Macaca mulatta: one gene and its partner. The protein of the gene in region 2 interacts with the protein of the main gene of each other region in a pairwise test. Links are inferred from orthologs where the notes say so. Each region holds a gene or a part of one and is shown on either strand. Other genes may lie near its edges.

Region 1 (5,796 bases), on a different chromosome or scaffold from region 2:
TCATTCTTTTATATCCTTCCCTGCACTGCCTGGTCTTAGAATTTACCTTGGTACTACTGATATTTCTCCTATACTATAGTTAAAGAGTGCAGTGAGGTTAACCGGAAATCTCAGGACCACTCAATGGAACACTAAATTTCCCATGGGAACTGACTGCCGACCCATATGTGAGGGGTTGTTTTCATTTACAATAGTTTTGCAAGCATTTCAGCTTACACATATTATTGATCTAAAAGATCATCTTGTCCTTGCCCACCTTCACAAGACTATCTCTTCCCTCCTGGGCACAATTCCTACTGTTTCTCAAATAACAAGTAAATATGGCCTGGTACAGTGGCTCACACCTGTAATCCCAGCACTTTGGGAAGCCCAGGCGGGCGGATCACATGAGGCCAGGAGTTCGAGACCAGCCTGGCCAACATGGCGAAACCCCGTCTCTACTGAAAATACAAAAATTAAATGGGCATAGTGGTGCACATCTGTAATCCCAGCTACTTCGGAGGCTGAGGCAGAAGAACGGCTTGAAGCGGGAAGGTGGAGGTGTGATCACACCACTGCACTCCAGCCTGGGTGACAGAGGGAGTACTCTGTCTCAAAACAAAACACCCCACAACAAAAGCCCCCAAACCAGTAAATATAACCATCCTTTCCCTTTTTTCCCTTGGGGCAGAAAATTTAATGAAAACTAAATACAAGAGAAGAAAAGGGAAGAGAAGGTTCTGTTGTTTTCCCCAAAGGCCTAGATACTTTATAGTACCTGAGAACTAGCTAATTTGCAATAAATCTCTACTTGTTTTTCCACCAAACTCTATGCATTGCTTTAACAAGCTTAAAGCCACTTATTTAGACAATTTACTACAGTATTCCCATTAATGAAATGAAAGGAACTCTGTTTTATTATTTTATCCACAACATCTGAGACTAAGAACTGGAAAGGCAGGGCGCTGATCTACCTTTGCTGTTATAATGTTATTAGCATACCTCTTAAAATCTTGTGCAAAACAGCTTGTGCTATGATGTGGGGACATTACAATAAGTACAACTTCTTCTCTTGCCTCTGATTCAGACTTCTTTTCAGGCTATGCTACGACTTGACCTTGCAGGCAGCCAAGCCTGGCAGGCTTCTCCTACACACAGGTCCCTGAAGCCAGCCACAGTCTTACCACTGTGTCTTTACCATTCACTCGGTTTGCACGAGTCCGTCCCCATAGAAGTGGCCCCACAAAGAACTATCAAATGGTTCAGAATATGTCTAAGAGTGCTTTGGAGTCTTCTTGCCCTTCCTACAGGTGCTTTCATTCTTCCTCCCCATCCCACCTGCCCAAGACTGCAGTACCAAGCTATTCAGAAGAGTCATAAATTAATCCACAACAATTGAATCTAAAGGAATAACACTTGCCCACTAAGTTACCTTAGAAAGTTGTGTGTATGCAGGGATCACACTAAGTAATGTATGTGAAATTAACTAATAGTTATGCATGAAAATAATTTATTTTTGTGTGTAGTATTCAGGTTATCATTCAGGTGTTCTTGTTTTAATTTGCTAAACTTCTCACAAACATCTGCTGTTGGAAAGGGCCAGGCAGGGAAAGATCTGTGCTCAAGCTAAAAGCCTGAATGCTTCATGTGGACTTTTAGGCACTAATACCTGGATAGAAGAAGTATTCTATCCAGAAAATGGATAGAATTTTGGATAGAATACAGAGATGTTTTCCTGGTGTTCCTCAGATCACAGCACACAAGTAACCCTTTATAACACCTCCTAATCGAGCAAAATTTGAGCCTGGACATGAATTCCTCCTCTGACTTGAAGAACTACTGCTCTGGGGTGGAATTAAATAATCCACATCTTGGCACTTGATCATACAGCCCATATGGATGTTCTTAGACTGCTTCATCGTATAAATCCCCTCTCCCCACTCAAGCCTTAAACTCTTCGAGCGCAGAAATTTTATTTGTCCTCACTGTACACCAAACAATGTTAAATACTCAGTAAATACCTGGCAGACTGAATTGAGGCGGCACGGCTTATAGGAAAAATCTAACCGAACATACATTAAGACTTAAAAGACTTACTGAATTTACAACATCATGACCAACCATCCACTTTTACTGCAAAGAGAACTTTTCATACAGATTATTTCCAAAACCCAGGTGGTTCCCAGTCACGACAAGCTTGTCCCTGACCCAGTTCTCCTTCTCAACCTGATTGCAATCTAACTCCCTCCTCCCCCTCCCTCGCCCTTTCAAGATGCACGCTGGTGCATCTTTCCCCTTAAAAATGTTTTCATTTGCAACTGCATTAGTAAAGACGAGAGGCAGCCTCTGGAGAGAACTCTGAATCCCTGCCCGACCCACCTCAGGGAGTACCACTCGGCCGTACCGAGCCTCACCGGAGAAATGTGGCCCAGCCCAAGTCGCCCATGTTCCTCAGAGTTGGGAAGGAGGAAGACATTTCTACGTGAAAGTTTGTTTTAAGGGACAAAGCCCAAAACTTGAATCGTTTTCAAAACAAACTCGAGAAAGTTCACGCGCCAGGCCCCGCCTCGGCTTCCCTGCGGCTCGCGGCCCCCGCCACCGTTCCCCGACCTGGGCACCGCGGGGCTCCGTGCGCCCTAAACGGGATCTGGCCAGCCCCCGCCCTCCCCTCCTCGACACCCCCGCGTCTCCTCACATTCTCTGCGCGTCCCTCTCCTTCCCGGCCCCGCTACCCGCTGGCCCAGGCCTCTCTGGACGGGGCCAGCTTCTCGCCCCACAGGCCGCGGGCCAGGGCCTCCGTCCTCACCCCAACCCTTGTGGCCCCCCATGGCTCCCCAGAGCCGAACTCTCTTTTCTTTCTCTCATTCGGCCCCTATTTCTCCCCCAAACACCTCCCACCGCAGACCCTTCAGTCGCTCGCGCCAGAACCGCTTTCTCCCTTCTCTCCCCAGGAATCCACCCCCCACAGACACTTCGCTCCTCTTCCTGGTGCCCGCCTCCTCTCTGCCATTCATTCAGCGCAGCAAGACACCTTCCTCCCTCCCCGAGCCCCGCTCCCTCCAGCCCCTGCCCTCCGCCCCACAGGACCCCTTCCCCCGTACCTCGCGCCCATCTTCCAGCAGCAGCCACCCGGCGCTCATCCCCACCCGCCGCAGGCACCAGCTCCGGCCACGGGCGCGGTCTCCTGTGACGAAGAAGCCGGGCTCCCCCATCGCCTACTCGACCCCGGGGGCGGTCAGCACCGAGCGAGACCCCGACCCAGGCTCCGGCTGCCTCTGTGCATCCTCTCAGCTTCCATATCTAAACAACAGACAGAAGCAATCACCACACGCTCGCGATCGCTGCGAATGCAGGCTCCGCTCGCCCGCCCTCGGCCAGGAAGCAGGAGCACTGCGCCTGCGCAAGAGACGGCGGCCGCCCTGGGGCAAAGAGGGTGAGTCAGGAGCCAATCCGACCCTGGGCGGGGCGGGCGTGACGCGAGGGCTCTCCTCCCCTCACAACTTCGCTCGCCCCCTCCAGAACCATCACCTCAGTCCTAGTCGCCCCAAAGTGGAACCTCTCCTCACCTTTCCTCTTTTTAAAAAAATCATGGGCCGGGCGCGGTGGCTCACGCCTGTAATCCCAGCACTTTGGGAGGCCGAGACGGGCGGATCACGAGGTCAGGAGATCGAGACCATCCTGGCTAACACGGTGAAACCCCGTCTCCACTAAAAAATACAAAAAACTAGCCGGGCGAGGTGGCGGGCGCCTATAGTCCCAGCTACTCGGGAGGCTGAGGCAGGAGAATGGCGTGAACCCGGGAGGCGGAGCTTGCAGTGAGCTGAGATCCGGCCACCGCACTCCAGCCTGGGTGACAGAGCGAGACTCCGTCTCAAAAAATAAAAAAATAAAAAAATAAAAAAATCATGTAAAACTATAGCCCACTTTTAAACAACTTTAAACTTTCCATCAGATTTAAGTCTGCCTAGTCTGTTCCTAAATAGTCTCTATTTTGCACGACCTCCTTATATTACCGAAGTAAAAAATAGATTACACTAGGCAAATCTACAAAGACACAGAGCACAGTTACCTGGGGCGAGGTGTGGGAGCGGGGATTGAATGCAGGTGGGCTTAAAAAAATTGGAGGAAAGTAGAAATGTTCTAAAAGTGGATTGTGGTGACAATTGCACAACTGTGTAAGTTTATTAAAAAGTCATGGAAGTGTGGCTGGACGCAGTGGCTCACGCCTGTAATCCTAGCATTTTGGGAGGTCGAGGCGGGCAGATAGCTTGAGTTCAGGAGTTGTGACCAACCTGGCCACAAGGGGAGACACCGTCTCTACAAAAAAAAAAAAAAAAAAAAAAAAAAAGGAAGGGAGGGAGAGAAAGAAAGGAAAAAAGAAAAAAAAGAAAAATTAGCTGGGTGTGGTGGTGCACACCTGTAGTCCCGCTACTCGGGAGGCTGAGGTGGGAGGATCTCCTGACCCCGGGAGGCAGAGGTTGCAGTGAGCTAATATGGCGCCACTGCATCGCAGCCTGAGCAACAGAGTGAGACCCTGTAAGGTGAAGTGAAGGAAGTGTACACTTTCAGTGGGTGAATTTTATGGCATGTAAATTATACTCAATAAAAGTGTTAATTTTATTATTATTATTATTGATTAGAGACTGGGTCTCGCCTTGTCACCCAGGCTGGAGTGCAGTGGCGCGATCTCGGCTCACTGCAACCTCTGCCTCCGTGTTCAAGCGATTCTCCTGCCTCAGCCTCCAGAGTAGCTGGGATTACAGGCATGCGCCACCAAGCCCAGCTAATTTTGGTATTTTTTGGTAGATATCGGGTTTTGCCATGTCTTCTGGATTCAAGCGATCCAACCGCCTCTGCCTTCCAAAGTGCTGAGATTACAAGCATGAGCCACCAAGCCCGGCCAACTAAAAAACTGTTTTTAAATTCAGCCTCTCATTTGGATTTTCCATACAGTGTGATAGCTGCTGCCTGTAGTGAGTACCTCCAATGGTTGAGCCCCTTTTGTCTTTTCAGTTTTCCAACACCTAGTTAACAATTTCTTTTTCTCTTTTTTCTTTCTTTCTTTCTCTTTCTTTCTTTCTTTCTCTTTCTTTCTTTCTTTCTTTCTCTTTCTTTCTTTTCTTTCATTCATTCTTTCTTCTTTCTTTCTCTCTTTTTCTTTCTTGCTTTCTCTTTCTTTCTTTCTCTTTTTCTTTCTTTCTCTTTCTTTTCTTTCTCTTTTCCTTCCTTCCTTCCTTCTTTCTTCCTCTTTCTTTTTCTTTTTCTTTTTCTTTTGCACCAGGGGAATGAAGGAAAACAATTTTCCTAAATAAAATTCTGTCAAAAAAACAGCCAGGTCTGGGCATGGTGGCTCATGCCTGTAATCCCAGCACTTTGAGAGGCCGAGGTGGGCAGATCACCTGAGGTTGGGAGTTCAAGACCAGCCTGACCAACATGGAGAAACCCCGTCTCTACTAAAAATACAAAGTTAGCCCAGCGTGGTGGCACATGCCTGTAATCCCAGCTACTTGGGAGGCTGAGCCAGGAGACTCGCTTGAATCCAGGAGGCGGAGGTTGCGGTGAGCTGAGATCTTGCCATTGCACTCCAGCCTGGGCAACAAGAGTGAAACTCCATCAAAAACAACAACAACAACAACGACAACAACAACAACACAGCCAGGCATGGTGGCTCACGCCTGTAATCCTAGCACTTCGAGAGGCCGAGGCAGGTGGATCACCTGAGGTCAGGAGTTCCAGACCAGCCTGGCCAACGTGGTAAAACCCCGTCTCTAGTAAAAATACAAAAATGATCCGGGCATGGTGGTGAGCACCTGTTAT
Region 2 (5,926 bases):
TATTTGCAGTGAATGAAAATAAAAATATGTTTCTTTCTGCTGGTGGTTATAATGCCTGCCTTTATTGAAACTCCCTTCCCTCACCTTCTATATATAACTGGGACTAATTTCTGCTGGAGACTTTAATTGTTCTTGAATTCCCAAAGTACTCTCTTAATTTAGGCCCTCATCATATTTCACCTGCACTACTATAAAACAACTATCTGATTTCCCTTGTCTTTCCCTCACAATCCTCAATCCACGTTCTATACTGCCTCCACCTTTCCCCTGAAAATTTTCTAAGTCAAATATGATCTTGTGAGTCCCCCTTAAAGAGTGCAATACTTCCTCAACTGTATCTCCTTCTTAGTTGTGAAATGTACACTGATATCTTAAGCGGTCAGAGAAATGCTGTACTAAAAGAATTTGATTTAACTTAATTGAGCTTCAATTTGCAAAATATAGACCAAAAACTGAAGAAAAATCTATTAAGATTTCCAATGTGCTCAAGGATTATCCTATCAGACGTGGTCTTCAGCAGTGGTTTTCAAACTGTGATATACTTTAAAATCTTCTGTTAAGTTTGTTAAAAAGAGACATGTCCAAGCTTCACCTCATATCCAGTGATTCTGAATATTATCTAGGAATTGGGTCTAGGCATATGCATTTCTCATAATCTCCACAATGATTCCAATGCATACCTAAATCTGAGAGCCCAAGCAGAAGCCCTCCTTGCTCCCTAAGAAATCTAATAAACTTATTAGTAGGTCTCCTAACTTTTCAAGTTGTTTCATACCTCTCATCAGCCTAGGGAGCACCTGTTTAGATATAAATATTCAGTTATCCATTTTAACAAGCTTTTACTCAACCTCTCTCCCCCCATTCTCTCCTTTAATCCCCTAAACCTGTATAAAAATAGTTTCCATATATTTACACACAGTCTTAATCCACACAACTACCCATGAGATAGTATCTTTGTTTTACACATGAGAAAACCAAATCTAGGATAGGAAGCTTAAGAAACTTATCCAAAGTGACCCCCAGTTTGAACCCATATTTGCTATTACAAAGCCAAGACATTTTCTATTGTGAAAAGTAGCCTCTTACACATCACTCTGAAGCACTGACTTATTTATCAGTTTACACGTTTCCCTTTTTAGACCTAGTAAGCTCCCTGAGGACAAGTTTCAGCCCTTCTAGATTTTGACCTCAACATTTAATCAATGCATGTTTGTTGAATGAAAGAAGATATGAAGCTCCTTCAGAGCTAAGACTGTAACTGCTTCTGTTTCATTTCTTGAATTCTTAAATAGAGCTCTGAGTACTCTTCTGCCTAACACATTTGGTCTGACCTGTAAATCTTACTGCTGGATTTATTATGAGACAATGTATTTCGGTAATGTTTTAAAAGACAAAAAAAACCCTGCATAATCAGCAAAGGGAGAAAAAGATTATTTCAAAAATTAAAATATCACTCTTAACTCTCTATTAACTAGGGACTTCAATTTTTGAAATTAGTGTATGCAACGACTTATCCCACAGAAGCAGGCAACTGACACAGTGTGGTTTTTAAATGACAGAAATGCAAAAGGTAAAGTTAATTAATAAAAGATGGCGTAAAGAAATTAAGCACTGAATACTGACAGCCTATTCAGCAATCCACTTACACTAACCAACGTGCAACATCATTTTTCCCTATCACAGTATTTTTCCCCATCTGCCATTTTTTGAAACCAGTAAAACTATAGGTAAGCACAGGACAATTACTATACTTGTGTATAAATGTAATGTTCTTTCTGCGTAAAGTTAATGTGTGTGGTATGTAGAACACAGTATGACTACTTCCTTTTTGATACAGGTTACACAGCTAATCTACTAAACCAACAACTGAATTTTTTTTTCATTGGAGGTAACTAACATTCAAAGTGCTGGAGATTTTCCTAAACTGAACATATGCAAACATTAGTGGTGCTTTAAGAATCTTGTATTTTAATTAGTTTTTGGTGAAAAAGGCAAAGTGGTTATTCCTTTAACACCACTTTTGGAAATAAATCGGTAACAAGAAAAAAAAAAAAACACCCTTCTAAAACAACATGATGTAGTGGAAAGTACCATGGGATAGGACGAGGCATGAGGAGTCCCGGTTTTCTGGTTCTGGTTACATCGTTAAACTGTTGTATGACTTGGGCTCACTGGATCAGTTTTCTCATTTGTTGAAAAAAGTGTGTGAATGGGGAGGGGCTTAAAGTTGTTAACCAAAATTCTCGTTTTGAGCCACTCCTCTCGTTTCATCCTTCTAATCACGAAACTCAATGTTCTCTAAGGTCTAAGTTCCGAAATTTGAAACACATCTGAAATTGAATGGAACGATTCAATCTCCAACCGGATGGCACAAGATACAAAGGGTGGACTCCTACGACGTTAACAATTAATCCAAGAACTTTCCAGAAATTGTCTAACCCTAACTTCGTAAAGAAGCAGGTGAAATCTGGTTTGGCATACCTAACATTAAAGGAGTTATAAAATGGTATTGCTTTGTTGAAATTTCCGTGTTTTCTGGATTCCAGTGGCACGTACTCTGCAGGTGCTAGCAAACAAAGTGGAGAGAAAGAGACCCAGCCAGGATTTCAACAAACCACACTTCAACCCAGCACCGCAGTATGATTCCGACAAGGCCTATACCACAGAGCAGAACCTCCCCACCCCCAGAAGTGCCAGCAGCCAATGTAACGAATGCTTCCGTCAACAACACACATTCCCCTTCCCACAGCAGAACTGCTCGCTCCCAACCGGCCATCTGGGGTTGGAATTGGCCGCACAGCACCAAACTAAGAATCATTCTCGGCCCCAAAAACCAAGAACTACCAGAGATTGAGGTTTCCCTGCGCATGGCTGCGGGGAAAGCAGCACCCCCTCCCACCAATGGGGGAAAAAATCAGTGGGAAGGAAAGTAGAAACCAGGCCTAGACAAGGTTGCTGGAGAAATCAATCTTGTTTCTCTTTAACGAAGAGCAGTAACAATTTTTTTATCCTCTCTAATCTGAAGAGAGCCCAGGCTCTTGCACTCGACTTCATTCCCTCCTGGAATCCTAATGGGAGAGTGAAAACCACCTTCCTTCCCCGACCTATCCACTCCTCAAACCTGGCATTGTTAAGGAAGGTACCCCCAGATCCAGCAGGAGGAGGTGACGCGAGAGCTAGAGCAAGGGCCCAGATTCTGGGACCAAGCGACTCTTACAAGAAAATCCCCTTGCGGCCTGAGAGTAAAGTTTTAACCAGCAGCCAGGGCGCGGACCGAGGCCCGGCCAGGCTGGAGGACAGGCCTGCGGAGGTGACACTCCCTTGTTCCCCAAAGCTCGGGGAGGCGGCGCCCGACCGCCACAGCCCGCACCCAGGGAGCAGGGCGAGGGCGCCGACGAGGGGCCGGGGCTGGCGGGAGGCCTGGCCGACAAGCGGGACCCTCCCCGCGCCGCTCCCGCCTCCTTCCCTACTCCCACTTCCCGGCCCCCAAGTCTGGGCCCGTGAGGTAATGTCACGGGTGGCGACGCGGTTCTTATCCACTGACCACACATTTCTTGCCGAGGAAAGTGAAGAGGGACTCGTTCTCCTGCGGGGTGAGCAGCAGGGACCCCACGTTGGTGACCCTCCGCGGCGGCGGCGGCTGCTGCTGGACGGAGCTCATGGTTTCGCCGGCAGGGTTGGGAGTCCAGGGCCGTCTCCTCCCGCGAGTGGGCGAGAGCTCGTTACCCCTCTCGGTGACAGGGGCGGGGAGAAGCGGAGTCAGAGGCGCCACATCTCGCAGCTCCTCCGGAGCGCGGAGGAGGAGGAGGTCGAGGGTCGCAGGCGCCGACGGCGAGCCACCTTCGGGCCGCGCTGAGAAAGGGAAGCTCCCAGCTCCCGCCCGGCCAGGATAGGGCCGGATGGTCGTTGTCCTCGCACTCCAGCGACTGCGCTAAACTCCCAACTCCTCCCCCAACCCTCCCGCAGCGGCGGCGGCGGCGGCCGCACAATCCAACATGGCAGCGGGGACGGGCGAGACCACAGGACGGAGGGCGCGGGGGAGCGCACCGGAAACGCGCGGCCGGGGCCCGGGAGGAACCCCCCCCACTCGGCGGCGGGCCTCGCCGCGCCGGCCCGAAGCCACGCCCCCTTCCGGCCGAGGCGCGGACCGCGCGGAGCTAAGTGGAATTCCGGTTGGCTCGGGGCGCAGGCTTTCAACTTCGTCCTCTGGCTTCTGGCGTCTCGGCTCGTCGGTTGGGTACCCAGACCCAGCTACTGCTGCTTGAAGAAAAGATGGGTGGGGAGACTCCTCGCCGTCGCTGCGCCGCCGGCTTTCCTTGGGCGGACGCACACCTTTGCGAAGCGTCAGTGAGGACCCAGGGCCTGTCCTTGAAATAGCGCTCATTTCTCAGGCGCGGCAGCGTGACGCTCGCTCTGCGGGTTCGAGAGGCCTGCGATCTGAAGACTGAAAACTGGGGAAGAGGTGCTTTCCCCTATGCTCCTCGCGGGCTTCACTAGGAGCCGCAGGTGCCTGGGATTTTCTCAAACTTTGTCCAAACTTCAACTGTGGGAGTGGAGGAACAAACAGGCCTCTCCCAGAATTGTGAAAGAGATCGCCCTGATGGATGTAACAAAAACAAATGCACTTGACTTCCACCGCCTCCCTGGCGTGTCACGTGGGCTTAATGTATGTGTCATATTTAAATTCAAAGTATTTTCTTTTAAGGGCCCTGGACACATTTTTTTCCCCCTGTATCGTGAATTGGAAAATAGCCCAGGATATTAAAAGTTACCTAAGATAACCCCCTTTGTTCTGTAAGTACTAAACGGCTTAAAATGAAATTTTGGAATCGAGACAATGATGCAGACTGCAGTGAGCTATCAAATATGCATGTCACTGTTCACATTAAACATTTTTGTTGCATAAATTCATGTCTGGTAATTGCTTAATTCCAATAAACAAAAAAGTTACATGTTAAACAAGACATCTATAACAGTTACACTTTGGTAAAACTGTTGGATGTTAACATCTCTGATAGCGCCAATAGAAATCTCTGATGTACTAACCAGACTGATAAACCATTATCATGCACTTTGAAAATAATTATAAAGTATTAAAATTAAAGCTGTCCTTAATGAAATAGGCTGAGCAACAATAAATTTACAAAGGAAAATAAGATTGGATAGCCTTGGGAGGTCTCACATAAAATATGGAGATTTCAAAGTTAAACTTGATTAATAATGTTAGGGTAAAAAGTGAATTAAAGCAACAGGACTATTTATAACATAATTAGATTTAGAAAGCATTAGTAGAAATGGAAGCCTGGAGTTGCTTCTGAATTACAGATCTAACAAAGCTAGAGCTAAATCAGTTTGTCTTTTATCAAAACTGCAACCCCTGTAAGTTGAAAGCACAGTGACAAGAGAAAGCATTACAAATTCTTGAGAAATAGTAGAAATTAAAGCTCTTCTTTTCAAACCTGTGAGCAAGTATAGTGCCAGAAGTTTAAGATTCAGATAGACCCAAGTTGTAGTTCTTGTTATGAATCTTATAACCCAGTGGACTTTGGACAGATTACTTCTCTGCGTCTCAGTTTCCTCATCTGTAAAATGAAAATAATTTCTGTTTCATACAAGTATAGTCTAAATAGGGATAATTACACCTACTTCGAAGTTGTAAAATACAAAATTACAACTAGATAGGAGGTGTAAGTTCTAGTGTTCTGTAGCACTGTAGGATGACTGTAGTTAACAATACTATATAGTTTCAAATAGCTGGAAGGATATTGCATGTTCCCAAAACAAAGACATAATGTTTCTGAGATGATAGATATGCTAATTACCCTGATCTAATCACTATACGTTATATGTATTGCAACATCACTGTGTACCCCCATAAATATGTGCAGTTATTGTCTATTAAAATTTTTTTAAACTAAAATTATAA

What was found. The genes of interacting proteins can lie anywhere in the genome.
Region 1: the proteins of WASL (region 2) and RNF8 interact in binary tests that used the Homo sapiens proteins (3 or more experiments, as listed by UniProt). The two-hybrid records come from large-scale screens. The link is inferred for Macaca mulatta from reciprocal best matches to the Homo sapiens genes WASL and RNF8.

What each region holds. Positions count from the first base shown.
Region 1 is NC_133409.1:144,882,068-144,887,863, forward strand, and holds the start of RNF8 (E3 ubiquitin-protein ligase RNF8), read right to left. Parts: upstream 3,314-5,796; 5' UTR 3,192-3,313; coding exon 3,081-3,191; intron 1-3,080. UniProt on the Homo sapiens protein: E3 ubiquitin-protein ligase that plays a key role in DNA damage signaling via 2 distinct roles: by mediating the 'Lys-63'-linked ubiquitination of histones H2A and H2AX and promoting the recruitment of DNA repair proteins at double-strand breaks (DSBs) sites, and by catalyzing 'Lys-48'-linked ubiquitination to remove target proteins from DNA damage sites.
Region 2 is NC_133408.1:163,547,066-163,552,991, forward strand, and holds the start of WASL (actin nucleation-promoting factor WASL), read right to left. Parts: upstream 3,917-5,926; 5' UTR 3,662-3,916; coding exon 3,545-3,661; intron 1-3,544. UniProt on the Homo sapiens protein: Regulates actin polymerization by stimulating the actin-nucleating activity of the Arp2/3 complex. Involved in various processes, such as mitosis and cytokinesis, via its role in the regulation of actin polymerization.